7 linked regions of the Canis lupus familiaris genome follow. The main gene of each other region encodes a partner of the protein of the gene in region 7 in a complex. Links are inferred from orthologs where the notes say so. Each region holds a gene or a part of one and is shown on either strand. Other genes may lie near its edges. The genes, in order: HTATSF1, SF3A2, SNRPD1, G-patch domain and KOW motifs-containing protein-like, DHX16, SNRNP40 and SF3B5.

Region 1 (3,500 bases), on a different chromosome or scaffold from region 7:
GAGAAACTAAGTCTGCACAATGTGATGGCCAGATTCAAATTAGGTGGCTCAATGAGCAAGGCAAGAAGCAAAACACAAAAACAGATGTAATTACACAACAGACTTCTACTCACAGAGGTTCCAGACAATTTGAATTAAGTTTGCATTAATATTCACATTCAAGTGTTAAGAATATGGAATGCATGCATCAAACCAAGGACATGAAGTCATAGACATTAATAGGTCATGTAATTTTAAAAAGCCATTTAATATTTAAATGAGATGAACTCTAAGAAATTGGGAGCCATACCTAATAGATAGGGATACCCTGGGGTCCATCTAAATTCCTTTCAAATCTCTATTTGGCAGGGGAACGGTTTCAAAAAGTGTTTCAAGATGAGTCAGGATTCTACTCAGTAGAAACATCAAATGTTACAAATTGACCACATGTATCTCCCCAGTGATCTCAAAAGATGCACAGACCATATGGGTGCACAGCAAACTCTACCACATGACTCTGGGCTGGGATGGAGCTCAACAGACCATAGGGGGTTCTCTCCAAGGGGGCTACAGTGAAACTGCCATGCTCACTGTTTCAATGCACAGGAGTGAGAAAGGTCTTTGGTTGCACCTAGATCATTTGTAAATCTGGAGTTTCACAGTATGAACCTTCTTTGTTGTTGTGTGACTTGTTATTTTTATGTTTACTTATGTTGACTTGTGGTCTTTATCTATCTTGTGTGTAACTGGTTGTCATTAATTTCAGATTCCAGGGAGAGGAGAAAGACCTGATGCCACACAAGTGCCGTCTGTGGTTTGGATAAAAGACTAGCCCCAAGGACAAGAGGCAGACCAGCGCAAGGTGCCCCGGCGGCATGCTATACCTTGCACACCTCTTGCACCTGTCCAGCTCTTCTTCACTCTGTTCACTTTTGTTCGCTGTTCTTAGAATTTTACCTGGACACTAAGTATTTATAAAGTCCCCCTAATAGCCACAAAAGCATTGTATGAACGTCAGGTCTCGAAAAACCACCTTTAGTATTTAAACACCAGGAGCTGTCTTTCATTAACCTGAGGGTTTTTTTGTTTTGTTTTAAGGATCAAATTTGTGGTACCAAAGTGAAGTTCTCATTTGCCAAGTATAAAATGACTCCCCGCCCAAACCGGCCTGTGCTTGTTGAAATGCACTCAAAATCCATAAGCAGCGCCCAGAAATCTTTCAGTGATTATATTTTTAATGATTTCCCAGAGTAAGTAGCTGCTGTTTACAGCTGCAGTGTGGGTGTTAAGCAGTGTTCCCTGGGGGACAACTAAAAGAACCCTAGGCTGAATGTGGGAAAATTTAAACATTTTGATACACTCTTAGCTCTATTTTCCTACCTTGACAACTACATGGAGGGGTGGTATGTGACATGTGAAAACATGGGGTGAAGCAAGCTTGGGACTCCCTTGAAAGAAAACACATCAGTGTTTCCATCAGTGGGAATATCACCTCCTACCTCAAAATCCATCGGATGAAACATATTTTTGATGATGACAACTCGCTCATGGCGCATTCGAGATGGGCCAGCTCTTCTCTCAGGTCTCCAGTCCAACTGCCTAATGCAATAGAGCAGGAACAAGATACTGAATTTTGTTTCATACTTGCAGGACAGAAAAAAAGGAGTTGTTACAATCAACCTTTATTTGAGTATATAGTGATGCTAATTATTCGATTCTAAAATAACAATATGTATTTCTGGAGAACTTTCGGAAGTAAAACTAATGGGCAGGTGAAAGATGGACCCAGTGTCTGAAATTCCCAGAATGTATCTTTTTTCAGGGCTGCTGTCTGGTTACAAATGTTCCAGTAAGATTCCTGTAAAGAGCCAATTATTTAATATTTATGACTATCTGGTATCTACGCCTACACTTTGAGGGCAAAAAATACATTCTACTTGTATTGGTTTTGAGGCATTTTATGATTATAAGGACCAAACTACATTGAAATATGTAAAACTACTGTTACATAACCAAAAATTTTATTGCTAGGTGTTTATAAAATTGGTAGGTATCTAGCCTATTCCTGTAAAAACTATAGGATATCACAACTCAACTCCTTTATCAGCACTGTTATCATTAAGTTGAGTGCAGTGTTAGAAGTGTTATTAGAACTCACTGTGATAGAAGAAAATACTTATCATTTCAGCCAACTTCTTAAAACCAGCATACTTCAAAAAACCCATTGACATGAATGGATTAGTAGACATTTGATGATGTTTACTGTACACACCGTGTACAACCCTATCAAATACAGTCATAAAAGCTGCTGTTTCTAACTCCTACTGATGAGCCTACACAGACGCCTTAGCTCCTGGCGTAGCTGATGTCAATTCACATTAGAAATGAACTAATGGCTCTGGTAAACAAGCTTCAACTATTTTATTTAACTTCATGTTCAACTTCTTCCAGAGATGGCCCTCTCATCTCATTGAAGCCCGGTTTATATTACAAATTAACACTCCAGGAAATAGACATGCTGCCACTGCCAGATCATCCTGCAGTAGAGATGACTGAAGGTTTCTGATGATCTAATGAAATTCTTTGAAAATAACTTCTGCATACATTTGATGGAACACAACTAAGGAGCTACACCCAAAACATAGTCTAGGATATGTAAATGAAATCATTCAAAAAGCGAAAATCAACACAAACTTCTGTTGCAGAGACAGCTTTTTCTTGTAGTCTTTGCACTTCTTCTTCTTCTTTGAGGCATCATACTCTCCCTTCAGTTGAAACTTGGCCACTTCGACATGCAATTTGTAGCCTCTAATTTCATCTTCGTCCAGAAGCTTTAACGCGAGATCCACAGATTCCCTCTTTATAAAAAGGTAAAATGAGATAGAATTTCCATGCTGAAATGAAACTTGGGGAGGTTTTTTAGGCAAACGATGACTATATGGACAATAAAGATTTCATCACAACTACCTCCTTTGAGATAAAGAACTCTAGGCTGCCTTATCAGGAAACCTGCACTCTAGAAACAGCTGTCCTCAACCAGTTTTGTGAACTTGGGCAAGTTATTCAATTTCTTCATCTGTAAAATGGGAAGAAAAATGCCTTCTTTGCAGGGTTCTTGACAAAATCAAATGAAAGAACGCACATAAAGGATAGGGACTGGCATATAGAAGGTACTTAAACTGCATTATTATTGGAATAAGAGTATTACCTCTTGGGAGTCTCAATTTCTCAATGAGGCAAATGGACTTGTGTGACTTTTAAGGTACAGTTTTATTTATTTATTTATTTTTAAAAATGTATTTATTTATTCATGAGAGACACACACAGAGGCAGAGACATAGGCAGAGGGAGAAGCAGGCTTCATGTAGGGAGCCCAATGCGGGACTTGATCCTGGGACTCTGGGACCCCGCCCTGAGCTGAAGGCAGACACTCAACTACTGAGCCACCCAGGCATCCCTACGGTACAGTTTTAAAATTCTCAAGTACTACTACTTAAAAGACTACATGACTCAAGGAACTG
Region 2 (3,500 bases), on a different chromosome or scaffold from region 7:
CCAAAGTGGGACAGCTGCCCCTCTCTGCCAGCAAGTGGTGGTCTGTGCCTCTTGGACAAAGACAAGGCTTTCGCCCCTCCTGGAGCAGGTGGGGACCACGGGGCGCGATGGGTGCTAACAGAGTGTGCTTCCCTCCCCAGGACCCTTACTTCATGAAGAACCACCTGGGTTCATATGAGTGCAAGCTGTGCCTGACCCTGCACAACAACGAGGTGCGTCCCTAGTTCCGGGCTGGGCTCTCCTGCCGCCAGGTCCAGGTGCCGCCTGTCCCGCTCAGGCGGGACTCTGTGCCCGTCCGCATCCTGGTCGTGCTCTCCCTGCTAATTCTGGGACGTTGTTCAGGGCAACAACGAGGGCAACAGGCCCGGATCTGCTCGCTCACCTGAGTGCCCCCCATCTCAGCCTGCGCCCCCAGAGCCCGCTGCCGCTGTGGTGCGCCAGGGGCCCCTCCGGCGTGCTTCCCCTGAGCGTCGTCACTGCCGTTCCTGCACGAACTAGACTTGCAGCTGTGGGGCAGGCCCGTCCCAGACATTCTGGATTCAGTTTTTGAGATCTCATTAGTGTGGCTCTAGCTCATTTCTTTGAACGACCGTACATTGTCCCACGATGGTATAACTAGCGCTCAGGCTGCCCTGACCCACTCAGTGACAAATAGATTCCGTTTGGTCTTCTGCACACTGTGGAATGTTCTGATGGTCTTTCAGCGCGTGTACAAGTGGTGCTGACTCAGCCAGTCTTGCGTGTCAGGGTCTGTCCCCCTCAGCACTGCTGACGTCAGAGCCGGGTCATTCTCTGGGGGGTGCTGAGCAGCATCCCTCATCTTGACGACCACAGACATCCCCAAACGTGGCCCAGCGTCCCCCTGGTGGTCCCAAAACACATGGGGTTCACCTTGCTCTCTAGAGGTCCCCTAGGCTGCGGTCAGCATGGACGCGCAGGGTCACAGGGTGTGTGCACCGTTGGGTTTGCCAGCGGTTGCCAAGTAGTCTGCACCATCCAGCCAGGTCCAGTAGGCGCCCTCCCATGACAGGCGGCGAGACCTGCCGTGTCCCACACCCCGTGATTGCGGACCTTCGCAGACCTACTCTGTCCCACTCTGCATGTGTCTCATTGCACTTCATGTGGACCTGCTAGAGTTTGTTGATTCCGCGGTGACCCGGTGTCCGCTTCGCGCTGGGCCCTGTGAACACAGGCCGGCTCCTCTCTGCCCACCCGTTCACTTGGGCTGTGTGTGTGCTTTTCCCGCTCCAGGGCAGTTACCTTGCGCATACCCAAGGGAAGAAGCATCAGACCAACTTGTGAGTACCCCCGCCTCCTTCCAGGGCCGTGTCTGGTCTCCGAGGTACACAAAGCGCACTTGGGTCTGTCCTTGCGAGCCACGCTAGAAGCAGCCCAGCCCAGCCGTGCCTCGGGGCTGAGTGGTTAAGCTAACCGGTCTTGCTGGGGTGTGAGGCTTCCGTGACACAGTGGGAAAGAGATGAGGGCTCACGGAGACTCCCTAGTAAAGGACGGTGGGAAACGTGATGAGAAGGGACAGGTGCCCCGACCTTGTCCCATCCCCACTTCAGGCAAACCCTGGGACCCCCAGCCAGCACCCCCACGCCACTCGCCTCCCAGACAAAGCCCAAGGTCAATGTGGAGGCTGGTTAGCTCCCAGCACCTGGGCCTGTGGCCTTGGCAGCCTGTGTGGAGGGGCCACAGCGCTTGTGTCCGTCCCGCCTGCAGGGCCCGGCGAGCTGCCAAGGAGGCCAAGGAGGCCCCCGCCCAGCCGGCACCAGAAAAGGTCAAGGTGGAGGTGAAGAAGTTTGTGAAGATTGGCCGCCCGGGCTACAAAGGTAACTCTGGGAGTGTGGTCTGGCCTGCTGCTGGTGGTGCACGCGAACGAGCCTTTGGCACAGACCCCCGACCCTGTCCGTGAGCCACCGGGACTGCTGTCCGTTGGCCGTCGCAGCAGGGGCCCTCCCTCACCTGCACCGCTACGGGCACCCCGCTAGTGCCCCGGCCCCGCCTCTCCTGTGAACATTCCCAAACAACCCATCAGGGTGCCGTGGCTCCCCTGCGCCGTATTCCAGTGTCTCGGGAGCTGGGGATTCTTTACAGTCCTAGTGAGGGTGTGTGGCCATGGGGGTCAGCGATTCCCTTTCTTTTGACCTCGGGGTGGGGTGGGGCAGGGGGTCCGTGTAAGAAACCGCATGTAGGGGACTGTGTTCCTGGGAGCTAAAAGGAAAGGAAAAACTACCAGGCAGGTATCCTAACCAAGGGTAGGGACGCCGCGAGGGTGACGGGCGTTCCAGGCAGGACGGAGCCGTGCAGCTGTGCTTCATAAGCTAGGGCTCGGATGCCAGGATCCTTGTGGGGAGGCCACTAGAGGCCTTTTGGCCATAATAGGGCACCTGGTGTCTGTCCTGATTAAAGTAGGGGGACGCTTGAGGGCTGAAGGAGGGTGTGGCGTGCCTGGGAGCTGGACGGAGAGCAGCCTGGAAGTGTGGGCACGGCCACTGGCCTCTGATGAAGAGGGCCGCCTCCCAGAAGCCGGGTACGGGCATCGCTAGCCTTACTGCACCCACATCGTGCTGTCCCAGCCCTGCAGGTGAGGGCCGCAGAGCCCACTCTCCTGCCCACACCCCTCCCTGTGTGATCTCACGCGGGGACCCTCCTGGCCCTGGGCGTGGACTGCAGGTAGCTCTGGTGTATCAGCCAGCTGGTGTCCTCTAGTGTCCTGCCCTCCCGTTCGTGGGCAGCAGCCACGGTCCTTTATCTTCGGGGGGACACGCTAGTCGGGACTTGAGACCCTTGTGTGTTGCAGTGACCAAGCAGAGGGACACGGAGATGGGCCAGCAGAGCCTCCTTTTCCAGGTAAGGTTAAACCTGGAGTCCCATCCTGAGTGAGGGAGGGTCCCTTGAAAGGCGGCGTTGCCACCTGCTGTGTCCCCACAGATCGACTACCCTGAGATCGCCGAGGGCATCATGCCCCGCCACCGCTTCATGTCCGCCTACGAGCAGAGGATCGAGCCTCCGGACCGGCGCTGGCAGTACCTGCTGATGGCTGCTGAGCCCTACGAGACCATCGCCTTCAAGGTAGTGCAGGCGGGGTCCACCGATCCTCGTGGGCAGGCAACGAGGCTGGAGTGTCCCTCCAGCCACTCACGGGTGCCCCACCTGGGTCCTTGGCTCTGGCAGGCTGGGGAGGGACATCCTGAGGTCCCAGGTGCCCCTAGCCGTAAGAAGCCCTCGTTCCCAGGCTGGTCAGGGACCCCATGACCTCGTCCTGGGCCCAGACAGACCACGACCCTCCCCCGGGGTGGCCGGCTGGCGACGTGGGCCAGGTCAGGTACCCAGAGCCGAATCCTGAGGCCCCTCTGCCTCCACTCCCTGCACAGGTGCCAAGCAGGGAGATCGATAAGGCCGAAGGCAAGTTCTGGACTCACTGGAATCGGGAAACCAAGCAGGTAAGTCATTCTGGGTCCGGGCAGTTCTGGGGCTTTCGGTGGCTGCCCTGC
Region 3 (2,259 bases), on a different chromosome or scaffold from region 7:
TTTTTCTTAACTAAAAGAGCATAGAAAACATATAGACATTTGCAAGTATTAAGACTAATTCTTCCTGAGATTTTTGTTTTGGTTATATGCATGAATGGGCCATGATGCAAAGTATATTTCTTTTTTTTTTTTCTTTTTTTTTTTTTTTTAAGATTTTATTTATTCATGATAGTCACAGAGAGAGAGAGAGAGAGAAGCAGAGACACAGGCAGAGGGAGAAGCAGGCTCCATGCACCGGGAGCCCGACATGGGATTCGATCCCGGGTCTCCAGGATCGCGCCCTGGGCCAAAGGCAGGCGCCAAACCGCTGCGCCACCCAGGGATCCCAACAAAGTATATTTCTTAGTGGAAAGAGGGCATAAAAGTCTCAAAATCAATGTATTAAGTGACTGTCTACAAAACACCCAGCCCTTTCTCCTGCTCTACTCCTATAATGCTGGCTGCTAGGCATTATCTCCTACAATAGATGAGCAGAATCTTTTTGTGGGAGGGGTGGGGAGTGCAAAGCTTCAGAAATGACTCTAGATCCTGAAATTTTGGGTTTCCTCAGTGAAGAGGCTAACTCACTTCTGAACCACCCTACAGTGAGACTCAAGCTTATGGGTCCAGCCTCCCCTCCCAGAACTTCTCTTCCTAGGATTCTATTATTTAAATAAATGGTCAAAGTACAAGATATTCAAGTCAAGCCTACAACATAAAGATCAAAGAGAGCAAATTTGGGAAAGAGAAAGATCAGTCAATCAAGAAACAAACTCTTAACTATGTAAGAGAACAAACTGATGGTTACTAGAGAGGAGGGGGATGGGGAGATGGGTGAAATAGGTGATGGGGGTTAAAGAGTACATTCGCCACATATCAAACTGTTGAATCACTATGTTGTACACCTGAAACTAATATAACATTGTATGTTTACTAACTGGAATATAAAAACCTGAAAAATCTTGAGTATGTCTCTGCCTCTATCTGTGTGTCTCTCATGAATAAATAAAATCTTTAAAAAATAATGTTTATAATCCTTCAAACTTACCAGCTTCCCTTTTCTTAGATTTCACCTTTGGTTCAACATCCACAAGTAGTGTATCCAGAGGTAAGCTGTCTGGTAGAATGAAATATCGAATGTTATTTCCTCGAATACTCAGTGTTTCCAGCTGTACTGGTTCTCTATTCTTCAAAGTCATTTTCACAGCTTTAAGATGTGTATTCATGCTGACATCTACACCTACAGGGGAAAAAAGAGAGAGCTTATTAGCATGATAAAGAAGGCAACCAGTAAATCTATCAAGCCGAAGTAAATAACACAATACAAAAGAATACTGCCCATTCTGCTACACTCTAGGACACTGCCTATTCTGTAAGACTCTAGGACACAATTTAGTACAACTGGTTAATGGGTGAATAATGTCAATATAAACCAAAAATCCTTTCTTCGGAGATTATCTCTAGTACATTAATGTTTTGCATGATTAGGTATGCTTACAGATGTGAATGCAGCAAGCCACGGAGGAACCCTGAGTGATACCTGACTCATTCCCACTGTGCCCAGGTATTCTCATCTCAGGGCGTTCTCACTATCTCCATAACTTCCTTATTCCCCATGTCACCAAGCTGTTAAGTCTTGTTTTATTTTTTATTTTTAAAGATTTATTTATTTATTCAAAGAGAGAGAGGCAGAGGAAGAAGCAGGCTCTATGCAGGAAGCGCGACATGGGACTCGATCCCAGGTCTCCAGGATCACACCCAGGGCTGCAGGCGGCGCTAAACCTCTGCGCCACCGGAGCTGCCCCTGTAAGTCTTGTTTTAAATAAAAGATCCTATATATATTGCAGTATTTTCCTTGTTACTAGGAATTTAACACATCTTTTTAACTGCTTTTTGAAGGAATCTTACTGTTTTTAGTACTTTAATTCCCAAGTTGCACAAGTTTTGAATGCTCTGCCTCAAACTATTTTTCCCATTGCTTTTAGTGTGAGATTTTGTAAAAGAAAAGCACAATTTTCTAGAATGAATATTATGGCATTATCTTAGAAATACCCAATTATTGGAGCCTTTGCCAATATATCTGAACAAATGGGTAACAAAAGACCTAGTTTATTTCTATTCCTACAAAGTTAGACCAGAAAACATGAATTCTCTTAACTTTCCCAACATCTACTTCAAATAGCAATTATGGTCAGTGCCACAGGGTCACTAACCATGTTACTGAAACCTCATATTATTCTGATTTCCTTTAAAGCAATTGGTGTCACATACACAAATATA
Region 4 (3,500 bases), on a different chromosome or scaffold from region 7:
GAGGAAGCTAATGCTCAGAAAGGTAACCCCGTACAGAAGGGATCCCGTTACAGAGTTTCAAAAAGCAAACAGGAGGGATGCCTGTGTGGCTCAGCGGTTGAGCATCTGCCTTCAGCTCAGGGCGTGGTCCTGGGATCCAGGATTGAGTCCCGCATCGGGCTCCCTGCATGGAGCCTACTTCTGCTCCCTCTGCCTATGTCTCTGCTTCGTTCTCTGTGTCTCTCATGATTAAATAAATGAATCTTTAAAAACAAACAAACAAACAAAGAGCAAACAGGAGACTGAAACAGTTGCAGAAAGCTTCTGGTTCTGGATGAGCAGTAACCCACGGGGTCTTGTTCACTGCCCTGTCTGCTGCCCCTTGCCCCCACCCCAGAACTCACAGATTGAAGGTGCGGCCAATGCCCTCACCAGGCTTCCAGCCCATGCCTCGTAACATGGCCAGCCCATAGGCCTCTACGGGGACTGCCTCGTAATCAGCTTCCTCTGGCACCTACAAATTCAGGCAAAGGAAGGACAGTCAGGCTTGGCCCATGGTGGGCCCTCTGAAGCCTGCTTACCCAATGAGTGACCCTTAGTGCTTTTCCAGTAAGCTCAAGGTTAGTTTTGATTTCCTCTTGCTGTCCCTCACTTTACTCATCCATGTTGTCCTTCAACAAATAATTATAAAGCACCTATTCTGTGCCAGGTACTGACCTAGGTGACGAGGATAACCAAAACAGACAAAAATCCCTGATCCTGCCCTGTGGGGATGACGTTCTAGTTGTAGACATACAATTTAAAAAATACATATAGGGGCAGCCCCAGTGGCGCAGCGGTTTAGCGCGGCCTGCAGCCTGGGGTGTGATCCTGGAGACCCTGGATCGAGTCCCACGTCAGGCTCTCTGTATGATGCCTGCTTCTCCCTCTGCCTGTGTCTCTGCCTCTCTCTCTGTCTCTATGAATAAATAAATAAAAAATCTAAAAAAAAAAATAATAAAAAATACATATAAAAATACATAAAACGTGGCATGTCGGGTAGTGATAAGTTATATGAAGAAAAATGAGGCAGATTAAGGGGATGCAGAGGGATGCAGAAGAGAGTATCACGGAGTTGATATCTGAGCAGAGACCAGAAAGAAATGACAGTGGGGGCCATAACGATATGAGAAGCATGAAGGATAGGTGGGTAGTCCAAGCAGAGAGAACAGTAAGAGCAAAGGCCCTGTGGCAGAACAAGTCTGGCAAGTGGTAAGAGCATCATGAAGGTCAACCTGACTGAGAAAGAGGTGGAGGAAGAGGGGCAGTGAAAGATTAATCAGGAGATCTGGGCTGGAGCCACAGGAGGGTGGCTTCCACAAGGGGTCCCAGTGAGGAAGTTACTGCAATAATCCAGATGAGAGATGCTGGTAGCTCAGACGAGTGGTAGGAGTGGTGATGGTGAGAAGTGATCAAATTCTGGATGTATACTGCAAAGGGAGATGATAGGATTTTGCTGAAAGACTGCATATGGGGTATGAAATAAAGGGGGAAGTCAAGAGAGACTCTAAGGTTTTTAGGCCAAGTGAGAAGAAGGATGGGGTGGAGCTGTGATCAGCTGAGATGTAAAAGGCCGGAGAAGGAGAGAATATGAGAGAACTGAGGCCAAAGCAGGAACAGGATGGAAAGTGAAGTGAAGGTCTTTTTTTTATGATCAAAGAAGCCAGAAGACAGGTGAAGGCCAACAAGAACAGCTCAGTCGAAAGAGAGGATGGTCTGGGGCTGTAGGAGAACTAGGCCCCAAAGAAGCATTGCTAAAACATTGTGAATAAAGAGGTGAAGAGTGGAGTCCATGGGTATAAAAGACAGACTTGGTTGCTTCTGTAGACACTCCCCTCACTTCTGTTGTCTATCACATTCCATCCTCACTCCCTCAATTCTTTTCTTCCCTCCTCTCTCAATTCCTTTTTTTTTTTTTCTCTCTTTTTTCTCAATTCCTTATACTCACTCTAGACACACGGCGGGTTGCTTCACTGATGGACCCACACCACATGGACTCCCTGCCACCATGCCACTGCTTGGGGTTGTTGCTGCCATTAGTACTCACCCTGCTCTTCCCTCACTCACTAAACCCTACCTGTCCTTCCAGACCTCACTCCTACCACTCTGGTCTGACTGGCCATCATTTCTAGCCTGCACTACTGTTCTCTTTGCTTACTATTCTGTTCTGCTCACACTAGCCAGAGATCTTGTCAAATCTTAAGTTTTTACCCCTCTCTGCTCAGAACCCTCTCATGGCTCTCATTTCATTCAGGATAAAAGCCAAAGTCCTCACCATGGTCCACAAGGCCCTGCTTAGTTTAGCCCCTGCCACTTCTGACTTCATATTCTTCTCCTCCCCTTCATCCATTCTACTCCAGCTACACTGGTCTCCTTGATGTTCCTCAAACACTCCAGGCTGAGTCTACCCTTAGGATCTTTGCATTTCCTGTTCCCTTTGCCCCTCATCTTGTTCAGATAATCCCAGAATGCAAGTGTTTTCCACACCTCAGTATCTTGATTAATTTTTTAATGCTTCCCAAAAAAGACAGAAGGAGGAAGGGATAGGCAGCAGGCCTGTAGCACGCACACAGACTGTACCCCCCGCCCCACTGTATGCAAAGAGGCAAGTCTGGCAGACAGGGCAAAGGGAGGCTGGGGCAGGAGGAATTAGGGGCCAGCTCACTGTCTCAGCCCGGGGTTCGCTGTCTGCCCCTTCCCCGTTAGGAATGCATCCTTTCTGGATCATGGGGATAGCAAGCGTGGGGTCGACACCCGAATTCTCTCTCTCCTCCAGGGACTTCTTGGAGTCTAAGGAAGAATGGGAGGGAGCAATGAGGTCCCACCATATCCTTCCATTTTCCTCCCCCACTTCCTTCACAGGGGGATGGCGAAGAGGGGATCACTCACCCTCAATGAGCTCCTTCACAGCCTGGGACAGCACTCCATCCATCAAGGCCTCAGTATTTGTGGATGGCCCAGGAGCTTGGGCTGGTGGCTGCCTGCGATGGCCATTCTGGATCAAAGGGATGATGAGATCCTTGGGGTTTTCTGAGGGCTTCACACTAATGTGGACACAGAAGCATGAAGTTGGGAGAGTAGCATGTCAGTGGGTTCTGAGCCACACTACTCCCTTCAGAGAAAACACAAGAGCCAAACTCACCCCCCCCATCTGACCACACCCTCTGTTCTCCTGTGAGTCTCTAATGGTGCTTTCTTTGGATTCTCTCCCTCACCCCCAACTCTTAAATGTCAGTGCCTTTAAGGAATCAGCCTTCAGTCTTGGACCCTCTGCTCATCCCAACACCCACTTCCATGGCCTTCACAATGACTCACAAATCACCATCCTCAGCCCAGATTCTCCCCAGTTCCAGGCTCCCCATCAACCTCCTGGATGGTTGATTCTCTTCTGGAAGTCTCACCCTCTGACTGTCTTTTCCAAATTAACCTGATGATGGCCTCCCCAAACCTGAATCTGCCAATCCACCCCGTTCCCCACACTA
Region 5 (3,500 bases), on a different chromosome or scaffold from region 7:
CTTCACTGGCATAGTCAGGGATACGCACAAAGAATTGAGGTCAGGGGTGAGCTCCTGCAGGCATGGCTGTCACCTGAGAATCCAAAGACTTTAGCAAAGATATCAAAGATGTGTCCCACATATAACTAAGGAGGAGACCAAGAAGCCCGCAGAGCCCTCTAAGATTGGGGTAGAAAGGCCTACTGGGGGACACCTGGGTCCCTCAGTGGTTGAACGACTGCCTCTGGCTCAGGGCATGATCCTGAGGTCCCAGGATTGAGTTCCATATTGGGCTCCCCAGAGGGAGCCTGTTTCTCCCTCTGCTTGTGTCTCTGCCTCTCTCTCTGTTTCTCATGAATAAATAAATAAAACCTAAAGAAAGAAAGAGAGAGAGAGGAGACGGAGAGAGAGAGAGAGAGAAAGAAAAGAAAGACAGACAGACAGGCTTACCTGGTTCCTCTCTCCAGAAGGATGCAGCAGGACCAAGAGACATGCACAACAGCAGTCTCATGGAAGCCTAGGAGCTCCTGGGCTGTGCAAATCCTGGTGCTTCAGGTCTGTATGTTCATTCTCAGCCAGCCTGGGGAGCCCAGCCTTACTCCCAAAGGCCCTGTTCTCACTTTTTTCCCCCCCTTTAAAACAGAAACTCTTATTTCTGTTGAGTCTAACAGATCCATGACTCTGATCCAGAGAGCATATGTGACTTGTCCTGGCCTTGGCTTTCAGCCTCCAGATCTTGGCCGTTGTTGTCTGTCCAGGCTGAGATAAACTGCAGACTGCGGGCCCTTGGCTTTCTTTCTTTCTTTCTTTCCTTTCTTTCCTTTCTTTCCTTTCTTTCTTTCCTTTCTTCTTCCTTCCTTCCTTCCTTCCTTCCTTCCTTCCTTCCTTCCTTCCTTCCTTCCTTCCTTCCTTCCTTCTTTTCTTTTCTTTCTTTCTTTCTTTCTTTCTTTCTTTCTTTCTTTCTTTCTTTCTTTCTTTCTTTCTTTCTTTCCTTTCTCTTTTCTTTTCTTTCTTTTCTTTTCTTTTTTTTTTTTCTTTTCTTTTCTTTTCTTTCTTTTGGCTTTCTTTAACATTGTATTAGTCTTCCTTAACTGGGGTGATTGGCCTCTCTTTGGAACCCCCCCTCCCATATTCACCATTGGGCTCTTTGCTTTCCCTTTGTGCCCTTGTCCAGGGGATCCTGTTGTCCTCTCCTGGGCAGCTCTCCTGGCTCACAGCTCTCTTGTTCTTTCCCCAGTGTGGTAATGGTAGATGAAGCTCATGAACGAACCCTACACACAGACATTCTCTTCGGGTTAATCAAGGATGTTGCTCGTTTCCGGCCTGAGCTGAAAGTCTTGGTGGCTTCAGCCACACTGGACACTGCCCGTTTCTCCACCTTCTTTGATGATGCTCCTGTCTTCCGAATCCCTGGACGCAGGTTTCCAGTTGACATCTTCTATACCAAGGTGCTCCCCTCAGGGAGGATGGGCTGAAGTGCGAGGCTGAAAAGCTTGGGCCTTTGGAGAAGGTAGTCCCAAGGAGGGAAGGGGAAATGGAGAGTCTGAAGAAGAACTGGGATAAACTGATTATTGAGCTGGGAGAAGAGGAAGTTTCTTGAACAGATGGCCTTCCTGTGACCCTCTCCTCCTCACCCCCAGGCTCCAGAGGCTGACTACCTAGAAGCTTGTGTGGTGTCTGTGCTGCAGATCCATGTGACCCAGCCCCCTGGGGATATCCTGGTGTTCCTGACAGGACAGGTGTGAGACATGGGGCAAGGGACAATGAGGTGTGTATCCCAGGGGAAAACAGAGCTGGCAGGTGGGCCTTCTGTCACTCTGGGACCTGTACTGCTCTCCCCATCCCAAATCCAGGAGGAGATTGAGGCTGCCTGTGAGATGCTCCAAGATCGCTGCCGCCGCCTGGGCTCCAAAATCCGGGAGCTCTTGGTGTTACCCATTTATGCCAACCTGCCTTCTGACATGCAGGCCCGTATCTTCCAGCCCACACCCCCGGGGGCACGAAAGGTCAGTTGGAGACGCCCACATTCTTCACCCCTATAGTTCACACAAATAGTGAAAAAGAGGGTGTGTGCCTGCCCTATGCAGGCTATGTCCTGGGCACTGCTGCAGCTGCAAGGCTTAGTTGTAGTCAATCCCTAGCCTCCAGAGCTGGAGAGAGAGGGTGAATTCAGCAAATATTTGATCCAGTTAGTAAGTATGTGGAGATGCAGAGGAGAAGGGAAGTCCTCAGGGTGCCAAAAGGTGGGATTTGATTTGGATCTTTAGGGAAAAAAAGGTAGGTAATACCAGAGTAAGGCTTAAGGTATGTTTAAGTCAGAATGTAATCCAAAAGGCTGAGGGGAAGGTTCATGTGGTGAAAACAATTCTGGACTGAGATTAGGGAAGGCCTTTGATAGCAGTTGGAAGCATTTTGACTTTAGATGATTGGGTTTTGAGCAAAGACGTAACTTCCATCCAACAAATGTATAACAAGCTCCTGCCATGTGCCAGATACTCTTCTTGGGCATGAAGATACAGTGATGAACAGAACAAAGTCCCTAGCCTCACAGCCGACAGTCTAACTTAAATTAGGAGACAGTGGACGCGTAGATGCCTGATGCTGATTTGTGACCAATGCTGTGGAGAGATATAGCCCAACATGGGGGAAAAGGAGACTGACTCCAGGGAGGCTGGGAGTGAGCAATGTCAGGAAGGTAGTTTCCTTGGGGTATGGGAAGGTGAAAGGGAAGCTGAGGCCTGAACCCAGTGAGGGAGGGAGCCAGGCTGATAGCTGGGAAGGGAGTGTGTCCAGCAAAGGAAGGCACTCATGCAAAGGACCCGAGTGAGGAGTGTGCTCAGACCAGCCAGGGAGCAACTGTGCAGGAGTGGAACGACGGAGCCTGTAGTCCTTGGAGATGAGATCAGAAAGGTAGAGCACTTGGAGACTTAAGGGGCTTGGATATAATTCTCCAGTAGGATGGGAAGCCATCAACGGATGGTGTTAGTGATGTGACAGGTTTACATTTTTAAAGGACAATCTGGGTGCCAGAAGAATGCCAGGTAAGCAGGACTTGGAGTAGAGGCAGGGAGACACATGAGGAGGCTATTGAAGGAAGTCCTAGCTGAGGAAGATTGTGAAAGTGGTAGTGGGAAAGATGGAGGCAGGGACCTGGACTCCCTCTCCCATCTCTAAAAAAAAAAATTTAACTCCTCCCATTTCCTTTCCGCCTTATGTCTCTTTTTTTCTTTCTTTCTTTCTTTTTTTTTAAGATTTTTATTTTTTTAAATTTATTTATTCATGAGAGACACAGGCAGAGGGAGAAGCAGGCTCCATGCAGGAAGCCCAATGTGGGCCTCGATCATGGGTCTCCAGGGTCATGCCCTGGGCTGAAGGCAGGTGCTAAACCGCTGAGCCACCCAGGGATTCCCTTATGTCTCTTTTCATTCCTTCTCTCCTTGAACCCTTCCTGGCCTTGTCCCTGTCTTCTGACATTAGGCAATAATCCTCTTTGCTCCTGTCCCTTATCTGTGCCTGCTTCT
Region 6 (4,220 bases), on a different chromosome or scaffold from region 7:
GCCTCCATGAGGAAGATATTCTCAAAGAAGAGCAACTCACTTTTCAACTAGTAACATAATCTCCTCTGTATTTACCACATGGATCTTGAGGTCTATATTCAAGATCATTCAACATTCTCCTTACACTGTTTTAGCTATGCAGTTTGTAATGCGAATAATCCAGACTGATACACTCTGTGGCACTAAAGGTTTTAAAAAATAATCACTATTTAGCAGAGAGTGATTATCCCAACTTCAAAAACTATCTCTTACATATCAGTCGATCAAAGCCTGCAGATGCTAAGGTGGATCCATTGGGATGAAACTTGCAGCAGTACACTTCCCCTTCATGTCCTGAGAGAAGCATGATTGGCGCTTGAAGGGAGGAACACCTTGGAGGTCCCTAAACAAAAGACAGAAGTACAGGGTAGTTACTACATACAGGCAAAGGAGACTACAAAAGACACGGTAAACAATCATTGAGTAGATTTCTCCTGATTTAGAGAATGGTAACTCTTCTCACATTAACTTAGGCCTCCAATTTGATACCCTCCTACTCAAGTGTCCAGTGTCTACCAGTTATACTGACTACTCCCTCAGGCTCCTTCTGTCCCATAGCCAACTTTAAATTGCTCAAATATGCTAAGCTCATTTCTGTCTCAGGATCTTTACACTTCTTGCTCCTGATCGGAATCCTCTTCCCTTGATCGTCCTGTGTTTAGCTCTTTCCAAATGTTTCCTCTTCAGAAAGTCTTTCATTGATCACTCAAACTCAAAGCAGCATCACACCTCCCCTCTGTATTCCATTAATCCTACTGTATTTCCTCACAGCACTTAAGACTACCTGAAATCACCTTCCTTTGTATTGGTTTACACATTTTGTCCTCTTCCCCGGTAGAAAAGCAGCTTTGTGACTGCAGGGACCCTGCATTCAACACTTTTCCCAGTCTCTAGCACATTTAATTAATGCCTGAACTGAGCTTCCCAACAACCCTGCAAGGTACATATTACCCAGGAAAGTAGTTTTGACTATGGTCTTGACACTAAACCTAGGCTTGGACAATTCACTGGAACCTGGGCTGACATTCCGGTCAGAGAGAAGACCTGGTACACTATTGATAATCCCCAAACATCCTTAATAGCTTTCAGTTTACTCATTTATTTAAAAAAAAAAAAAAATTAACGTGCCAGGCACTGTTTTAGGCGTTGGGAAAACAGTACTGAACAAAATAAACAATGGAGTTTGTGTTCCCGTGGAAAGGAGGAAGAGAAGAGACGAAGAGAGAAAACAAAACATATAGCAGGTTGGTATGTGCTACGGAAGAAAAAAAGCGATGTGGATTAATACATATGGGGTATTGCAATTTAAAACAGGGTAGTCAGGAAGGCCCTTACTGAAAAAGTGATATCTGAACAAAGATTTGGAGGATCTGAGTGTGTAAACCACGTGGATATTTTGAAGAGCATTCCAGTTGAGTGCAGCAAATGCAAAGGCTTTGAGGCAAGAGCATGGAAGCCAGTGTGACTGGAGCAGGGGGAGTAATGGAAAATTGGTAGATCTGAGAGGTAAAGGGAAAATGGGCAAAAGATTTTAAGGATTGTAAGGATTTAACCCTGGGTGAAATGGAAAGCCATCAAAAGTTTTCAGCAGAGGGTAACACGAGCTGACCTTTAGCAGGATTCTCTAGCCACTGGACTGAGAATAGATGGACCATAAAAGAATAGAAACAGGAAATACCAGTTAGGACCTCACTACAATAATGCCAGATGAGAAAAATAACGGCTTAGACCAGGGGCGAGTGATGGAGGTGGCACAAGGATTAGCAATTTGGCATCTATTTTGAGGACGGTGTGCCAGCAGGATTTGCTCACCGGCTGGTGGAGAGGTTGAGAGTGGAGACGTTTACTTCTTGATCGGAGCCTACCAGCCCAGCAGAGGGGTGATCGTTATTACCTCCATCTTACAAGAAATGCAGTTAAGAGCATGGATTCGGCTTTAAAACCGTTTCCTATCACTTACCGGGTTAAGAGCTTACAAAACAGGGCACTGAGAGTTCCTAACTCTTAAGCTGTTACCAAGATTAATGGGGTTTTCATACACAAAGCCCTTAGGACAGGTATTAAATGAAGGTCAGCTCTCGTTCCGTTGTTGTTAGTAACAGTACTAGTGCTGAGACATGGGGGGGGGGGGGGGGGGGGCGGGCATCTTGACCAAAGCAAGCCGGGCTCATTCGTTTCCTTTCTCTCCTCATTCATTCATTCATTCATTCATTCATTTTTTTCAGCCGTTCTACAAAGTTTTCTGAATGTTTACTCCACGCTGGGTCCCTGTGGAAGATTTAATACGAAAAAGCCCCGGTGCGGGTTTTGACTTCAAGGTCCTTAACGCTAAATGTAACGCCACCTCCCAGGGTGGTCGAGACGCTGAAAGCGGGCGTCCAACCAGGTAACGAGCGGAGCGTCCCGGGGGGGCAGGGGGGGTGTCGACCGCTTTTACAGTGTTTCCTGTGTGAACTGCAGGCAGCTATTCCCGTTCCTACCCCGCACTGCGGGATCACCGGGGGCGGGCTCCCTGAGGGGAAGATGAGCTGAGGCCCGAGGGCCGCCCGCGACTCCACTTACCGCTTGTAGCAAAGCTCCCGGCGCCGTCTGCTGCTGCCCAGCTCCGGGGCCCGACCCCGCCGCTCCCAACAGCAGCTCATGCCGCTGCCGCTTGACTGGGACCAGTGGCAACTCCGGGCCTTTGCGCTTTTGCTGTTCTATCATGGCGGCAACCGCTCTCCTCAGCGCCGCCACTGACCGCGCCGACACCCTCAGGCAGCGCGCGATTGGTTCCGACTTAGTTCTTCCCCCAGAACTTCCGGCTTGGAGTAACCAATCGGTCTGCAGCAATCCCCTCTGCACCGCCTCCCTGAATACTCTTCTTTTATTGGTCAGTTCTTTCTGGCGTCACGGGAGTGCGGTGCTGGGATTGGTGGGTGGAGCTGGAGTCCCACCTAGGCGCGCTGGGTCTTGTGGGTGGAAGCGTTGTCTGGTTTTGGCGTTTCGCGCAATGCTGCGGCCGGGAGACCGGGAGCTGACCCAGAGTAAGTGGAAGGAAGGTCGAGGGTGGGTGGCTGCGGCATCTAGAGACGGCGCCTCGGTTGTGTGACGTGAGCCTGGCTCTTCTCAGCTGAAGGTTTGCAGGGGCCTGAGGCGGGCCCCGGGGTCCCAGCGTCGGCGCGTAGCAGCCTGGGTTCCCCTTCTAGGCTGGAGCAGGGCTTTGGGGTCTCTGCGGCCGCCCGGGGCCCTCGTCCGCCGACTCGTTCGTCCAGCGCCTGCCGTGTCCAGCCCTGTGCCTGTGCCGAACGCCCCCAGGGAGGAAGGGCCTGTCTCCCAGCTCCACCAGGCTCCTCTCTCTGACTGAGGAGGCCGGCTTGTTTCTGCCACTGGTCATGCAGCCTTTTACGAGGGCCTGCTCAGTGCCTCTGGGAGAGACAGGGATGAGAGGAGTATCCGACTGCTGCTTCTCCAGAGCACAGTCCTGTGGAGAAATTCGGAATCATATCTGGGAACTAGGTCTCCTTAATTGTCCAACTGGTGTTTATTGGAAAGAGCCCTGAGAGGATACATTGTGAACCAAAGATGGTCCCACGTCGGGCCCCCTCCATGGAGCCTGCTTCTTCCTCTGCTTGTGTCTCTGCACCCCCCCCCCCGTCTCTCATGAATAAATAAATTAAAAACAAACAAACAATTCAAATATTTGAATATTGAGGGCAAGCATGTTAAACAGTGATCTCACTAAGAGCTTTAAAATACGTGCTGCCTAGGAGAGGTGCCTGATGTTATGAGTGTCTGCAATAAGCAGAAAAGCCTCTGTGAGGAAAAGATGCCCGAACTGATACCTGAAGGAAGAATTGTAATTATTTGGGTCAAGGGAGAAAGGCAGAGCGTTCCATATAGAACAACATGTGCAGGGGCCCTGCGGCAAATGGGAGGAAAATGACTGAACGGCAGAAAGAGGCCACTATGGCTACTTCAGAGGGAATGAAGGAGGGTCTGGTACAGGATGCAGCTGGAGGTGGGTAGAGGTGCAGGATTTTTACTTCAGGACTGATGGGAAACGACCGAGCTTTTTGTTTGTTTGTTTGTTTTGTTTTTGTTTTGGTGGGGGGAGAGAGTGGTGTGATGGGACAGGTGGTGGCTTGATCACTCAGTAGCATAAACAGATTGGAGGAGAGATAGATGCAGATCGACCATTT
Region 7 (2,449 bases):
TGCTGTGTGTACATTAGATCTCTAGACTTACTCATCTGTACCTAACTGCAGAACAGAACTATTTTAAAGTCATCTTTCTCCCACTAAAGAGTCCCTTCTATTTGCTGCCACAGTTGTTCATCCATTCATCAAACGTTTTTTGAGAATGCGAGCTCTACCAGGCCAAGTATCGCAAGTGTGGTTATCACAAAAAAGATGCCACAAAAGAAGCTATGATAAATGATGGCATCAAAAAAGTATACGCTACTTTCCCCCAAGTAGTTTGAATTCACACGAGGGAGTTCTCAGAAAAAAAAAAAAAAAAAAAGAACCCAAAGCGTAGGCTATAAGGCGATCATAATGAAGCGATGTACAGGAGACTTTACGTCTGTCTGGTGTGGCCAAAGCCGATTTCAAGGAGATGCTTTTGAGCTGACTTAAAGAGAGAAGTTGTTTGCCAAGGGAACAAAAGCATTCCAAGCGGAGGGAACATCTAGTACAAAGAACTGGAGAGGCGAGCGGCACGGAATGCTGAGACACACAGGCTGGGGTGCGTAGGGTGGGGCGAGCAGCTGGAGGCAGGACATCAAATGAAGCAGCTGGAGCGCCGGGGGGCGGGGGGGGGCGGGGGGGGCGGGGCTCGGTGTGGGAGCCCGAACGTGTCGGCGCCCGAACGTGTCGGCGCCCGTAGGGTCCTCGGGCACCGGGCGGGAAACGGCGGCCCCGCCAGCGCTGAAGGAAGACGCACAGCTGGGAGCCGCAGTCGCGTCGACCGATTCTCAGGGTGACCCACCCCGGGCCGTGACGGGGCCCACCACGCCGCCACATTCGCTCCGAAACCAAAGTTACACCGAGGTTACTCTCACGGCGGCCTGTGGCAGCTCCCCATTTCTTCGCAGCTCCCAGCCGCCCAGGGATGCTCCCCGCCTCCCCGACACGACGCTCCACCAGGCGCCGGCGGGCTCTTAAACCGCGACGACCGCCCAGGGAGGCGGGCGCGCACGAACCCTCGGCGACCGCAGCTCCCGGCATGCAACGCTCCGCGCTAGAGCAAGGGCCACTGAATGAACCATGATGCAACGCTCTACGGAGGGGGCGGAGCTCTCCATGGCGGGGGCGGGGGGTGGGCGGCCGACTGGTAGCGTCGCCTAGGCAACTCCAATTCCCTGACGGAATACACTTCCGCTTCCTCCTCTGAGCGCTAGGACCGCGAGTCCTCGCGGCTCCGTGGCTGTGACGTCATTCTCCTGCGACTGAGCCGGCCGGGAGGTGCCGTGTCGTGGGCTCTCTCCCGCGTGGAAGTCTAGAGCAGCTTCTCCTCTGCGGCGTCTGACCTGGGCGCGAAGGGAAAGCGGCGAGATGACTGACCGCTACACTATCCACAGCCAGCTGGAGCACCTGCAGTCCAAGTACATCGGCACGGGCCACGCCGACACCACCAAGTGGGAGTGGCTGGTAAACCAGCACCGCGACTCCTACTGCTCCTACATGGGCCACTTCGACCTTCTCAACTACTTCGCCATTGCGGAGAATGAGAGCAAAGCGCGAGTCCGCTTCAACTTGATGGAGAAGATGCTGCAGCCTTGCGGACCGCCAGCCGACAAGCCGGAGGAGAACTGACACCCCCGTCTCGTCACTGCCACGCGGGAGCGTGTCCCGAGTTCCTCCCGTTTGCCGTTTCTCCCGCGTGTTCCTGCCCCGAAGTGGACCGGTTCTCCATTGCTCCTGTTTCTCGCGCCTTCCTCGTGCACAAGTGCTTAGCTGAGGCCGTCCCGCCTGACCTGCTTTCCTGTGGACCCTTAGGAACAGCGTTGGGAGACTGTCAGGACCCGTGAGAACTGAGACGGTGGAGAGGTCCTAAACCAGCAAGAGAGGGGGGAAGGAACTGGGATCAGACGGGATTTGGAGGCTCTTTTTTGGCTAGTTGATTGTCGTTTCTTTTTCCATAAAGTCTAGAAGTTTTTCAATCACTTGGTGTGGACCACTTGCGTTTGAGTGGAAGGGGGTCCAAGGAGGGCTTTGGGGACTTTAGTTTCTTGGGAGACCGAAGAGGCGGGAGATGGATGGGTGGAGGAGTTGAGCACAGGGCCAGCGTTCATTGGCATACAGTTAAATCCGCCTTGCACGATCTTTATAATATTCCCCAACCCAGACTTCTCCCAAGAGCTTTTTTCAGGCCCATAATGCCTTCAGGACTGAGGATTAAGGTTTATGATCACTGTATCCCTCTTTCATGTTCTTGCATTCAGAAAAATCTTTACTAGCATTGCCCACTCCTCTATGTAAGTTGCATCGTCTCTTTCTCTTGGGATTCTGGACACATCCTGAAAAACGACAGGCTGTCAGACGAGTTCTTTCATTCATTCGGCATTCAACAAATACTTGTTGAGTCAGTTCTATGTGGTGGGCATTTTGCCTCGCTTTTGGAGCTTATGTTATACTTGGGGGGGCACACAAATTGTAGGCATAA

Evidence for each region.
Region 1: SF3B5 (region 7) and HTATSF1 share a complex: the UniProt entries of both Homo sapiens proteins name them as parts of the 17S U2 SnRNP complex. The link is inferred for Canis lupus familiaris from reciprocal best matches to the Homo sapiens genes SF3B5 and HTATSF1.
Region 2: SF3B5 (region 7) and SF3A2 share a complex: the UniProt entries of both Homo sapiens proteins name them as parts of the 17S U2 SnRNP complex. The link is inferred for Canis lupus familiaris from reciprocal best matches to the Homo sapiens genes SF3B5 and SF3A2.
Region 3: SF3B5 (region 7) and SNRPD1 share a complex: the UniProt entries of both Homo sapiens proteins name them as parts of the minor spliceosome. The link is inferred for Canis lupus familiaris from reciprocal best matches to the Homo sapiens genes SF3B5 and SNRPD1.
Region 4: SF3B5 (region 7) and G-patch domain and KOW motifs-containing protein-like share a complex: the UniProt entries of both Homo sapiens proteins name them as parts of the minor spliceosome. The link is inferred for Canis lupus familiaris from reciprocal best matches to the Homo sapiens genes SF3B5 and GPKOW.
Region 5: SF3B5 (region 7) and DHX16 share a complex: the UniProt entries of both Homo sapiens proteins name them as parts of the minor spliceosome. The link is inferred for Canis lupus familiaris from reciprocal best matches to the Homo sapiens genes SF3B5 and DHX16.
Region 6: SF3B5 (region 7) and SNRNP40 share a complex: the UniProt entries of both Homo sapiens proteins name them as parts of the minor spliceosome. The link is inferred for Canis lupus familiaris from reciprocal best matches to the Homo sapiens genes SF3B5 and SNRNP40.

The regions. Positions count from the first base shown.
Region 1 is NC_049260.1:107,807,800-107,811,299, reverse strand, and holds part of HTATSF1 (HIV Tat-specific factor 1), read right to left. Parts: intron 2,838-3,500; coding exon 2,674-2,837; intron 1,579-2,673; coding exon 1,479-1,578; intron 1-1,478. UniProt on the Homo sapiens protein: Component of the 17S U2 SnRNP complex of the spliceosome, a large ribonucleoprotein complex that removes introns from transcribed pre-mRNAs.
Region 2 is NC_049241.1:57,260,975-57,264,474, reverse strand, and holds part of SF3A2 (splicing factor 3A subunit 2), read left to right. Parts: intron 1-140; coding exon 141-212; intron 213-1,251; coding exon 1,252-1,298; intron 1,299-1,725; coding exon 1,726-1,835; intron 1,836-2,806; coding exon 2,807-2,856; intron 2,857-2,937; coding exon 2,938-3,078; intron 3,079-3,380; coding exon 3,381-3,449; intron 3,450-3,500. UniProt on the Homo sapiens protein: Component of the 17S U2 SnRNP complex of the spliceosome, a large ribonucleoprotein complex that removes introns from transcribed pre-mRNAs.
Region 3 is NC_049228.1:66,463,568-66,465,826, forward strand, and holds part of SNRPD1 (small nuclear ribonucleoprotein Sm D1), read right to left. Parts: intron 1,220-2,259; coding exon 1,028-1,219; intron 1-1,027. UniProt on the Homo sapiens protein: Plays a role in pre-mRNA splicing as a core component of the spliceosomal U1, U2, U4 and U5 small nuclear ribonucleoproteins (snRNPs), the building blocks of the spliceosome.
Region 4 is NC_049260.1:42,458,503-42,462,002, forward strand, and holds part of G-patch domain and KOW motifs-containing protein-like, read right to left. Parts: intron 3,063-3,500; coding exon 2,908-3,062; intron 2,809-2,907; coding exon 2,684-2,808; intron 494-2,683; coding exon 384-493; intron 1-383. UniProt on the Homo sapiens protein: RNA-binding protein involved in pre-mRNA splicing. As a component of the minor spliceosome, involved in the splicing of U12-type introns in pre-mRNAs.
Region 5 is NC_049233.1:603,122-606,621, reverse strand, and holds part of DHX16 (pre-mRNA-splicing factor ATP-dependent RNA helicase DHX16), read left to right. Parts: intron 1-1,216; coding exon 1,217-1,427; intron 1,428-1,619; coding exon 1,620-1,718; intron 1,719-1,832; coding exon 1,833-1,985; intron 1,986-3,500. UniProt on the Homo sapiens protein: Required for pre-mRNA splicing as a component of the spliceosome. Contributes to pre-mRNA splicing after spliceosome formation and prior to the first transesterification reaction.
Region 6 is NC_049223.1:69,116,161-69,120,380, reverse strand, and holds the start of SNRNP40 (U5 small nuclear ribonucleoprotein 40 kDa protein), read right to left. Parts: upstream 2,801-4,220; 5' UTR 2,746-2,800; coding exon 2,602-2,745; intron 2,426-2,601; exon of another isoform or gene 2,287-2,425; intron 383-2,286; coding exon 253-382; intron 1-252. UniProt on the Homo sapiens protein: Required for pre-mRNA splicing as component of the activated spliceosome. Component of the U5 small nuclear ribonucleoprotein (snRNP) complex and the U4/U6-U5 tri-snRNP complex, building blocks of the spliceosome.
Region 7 is NC_049222.1:35,794,967-35,797,415, reverse strand, and holds SF3B5 (splicing factor 3B subunit 5), read left to right. Parts: upstream 1-1,204; 5' UTR 1,205-1,338; coding exon 1,339-1,599; 3' UTR 1,600-1,949; downstream 1,950-2,449. UniProt on the Homo sapiens protein: Component of the 17S U2 SnRNP complex of the spliceosome, a large ribonucleoprotein complex that removes introns from transcribed pre-mRNAs.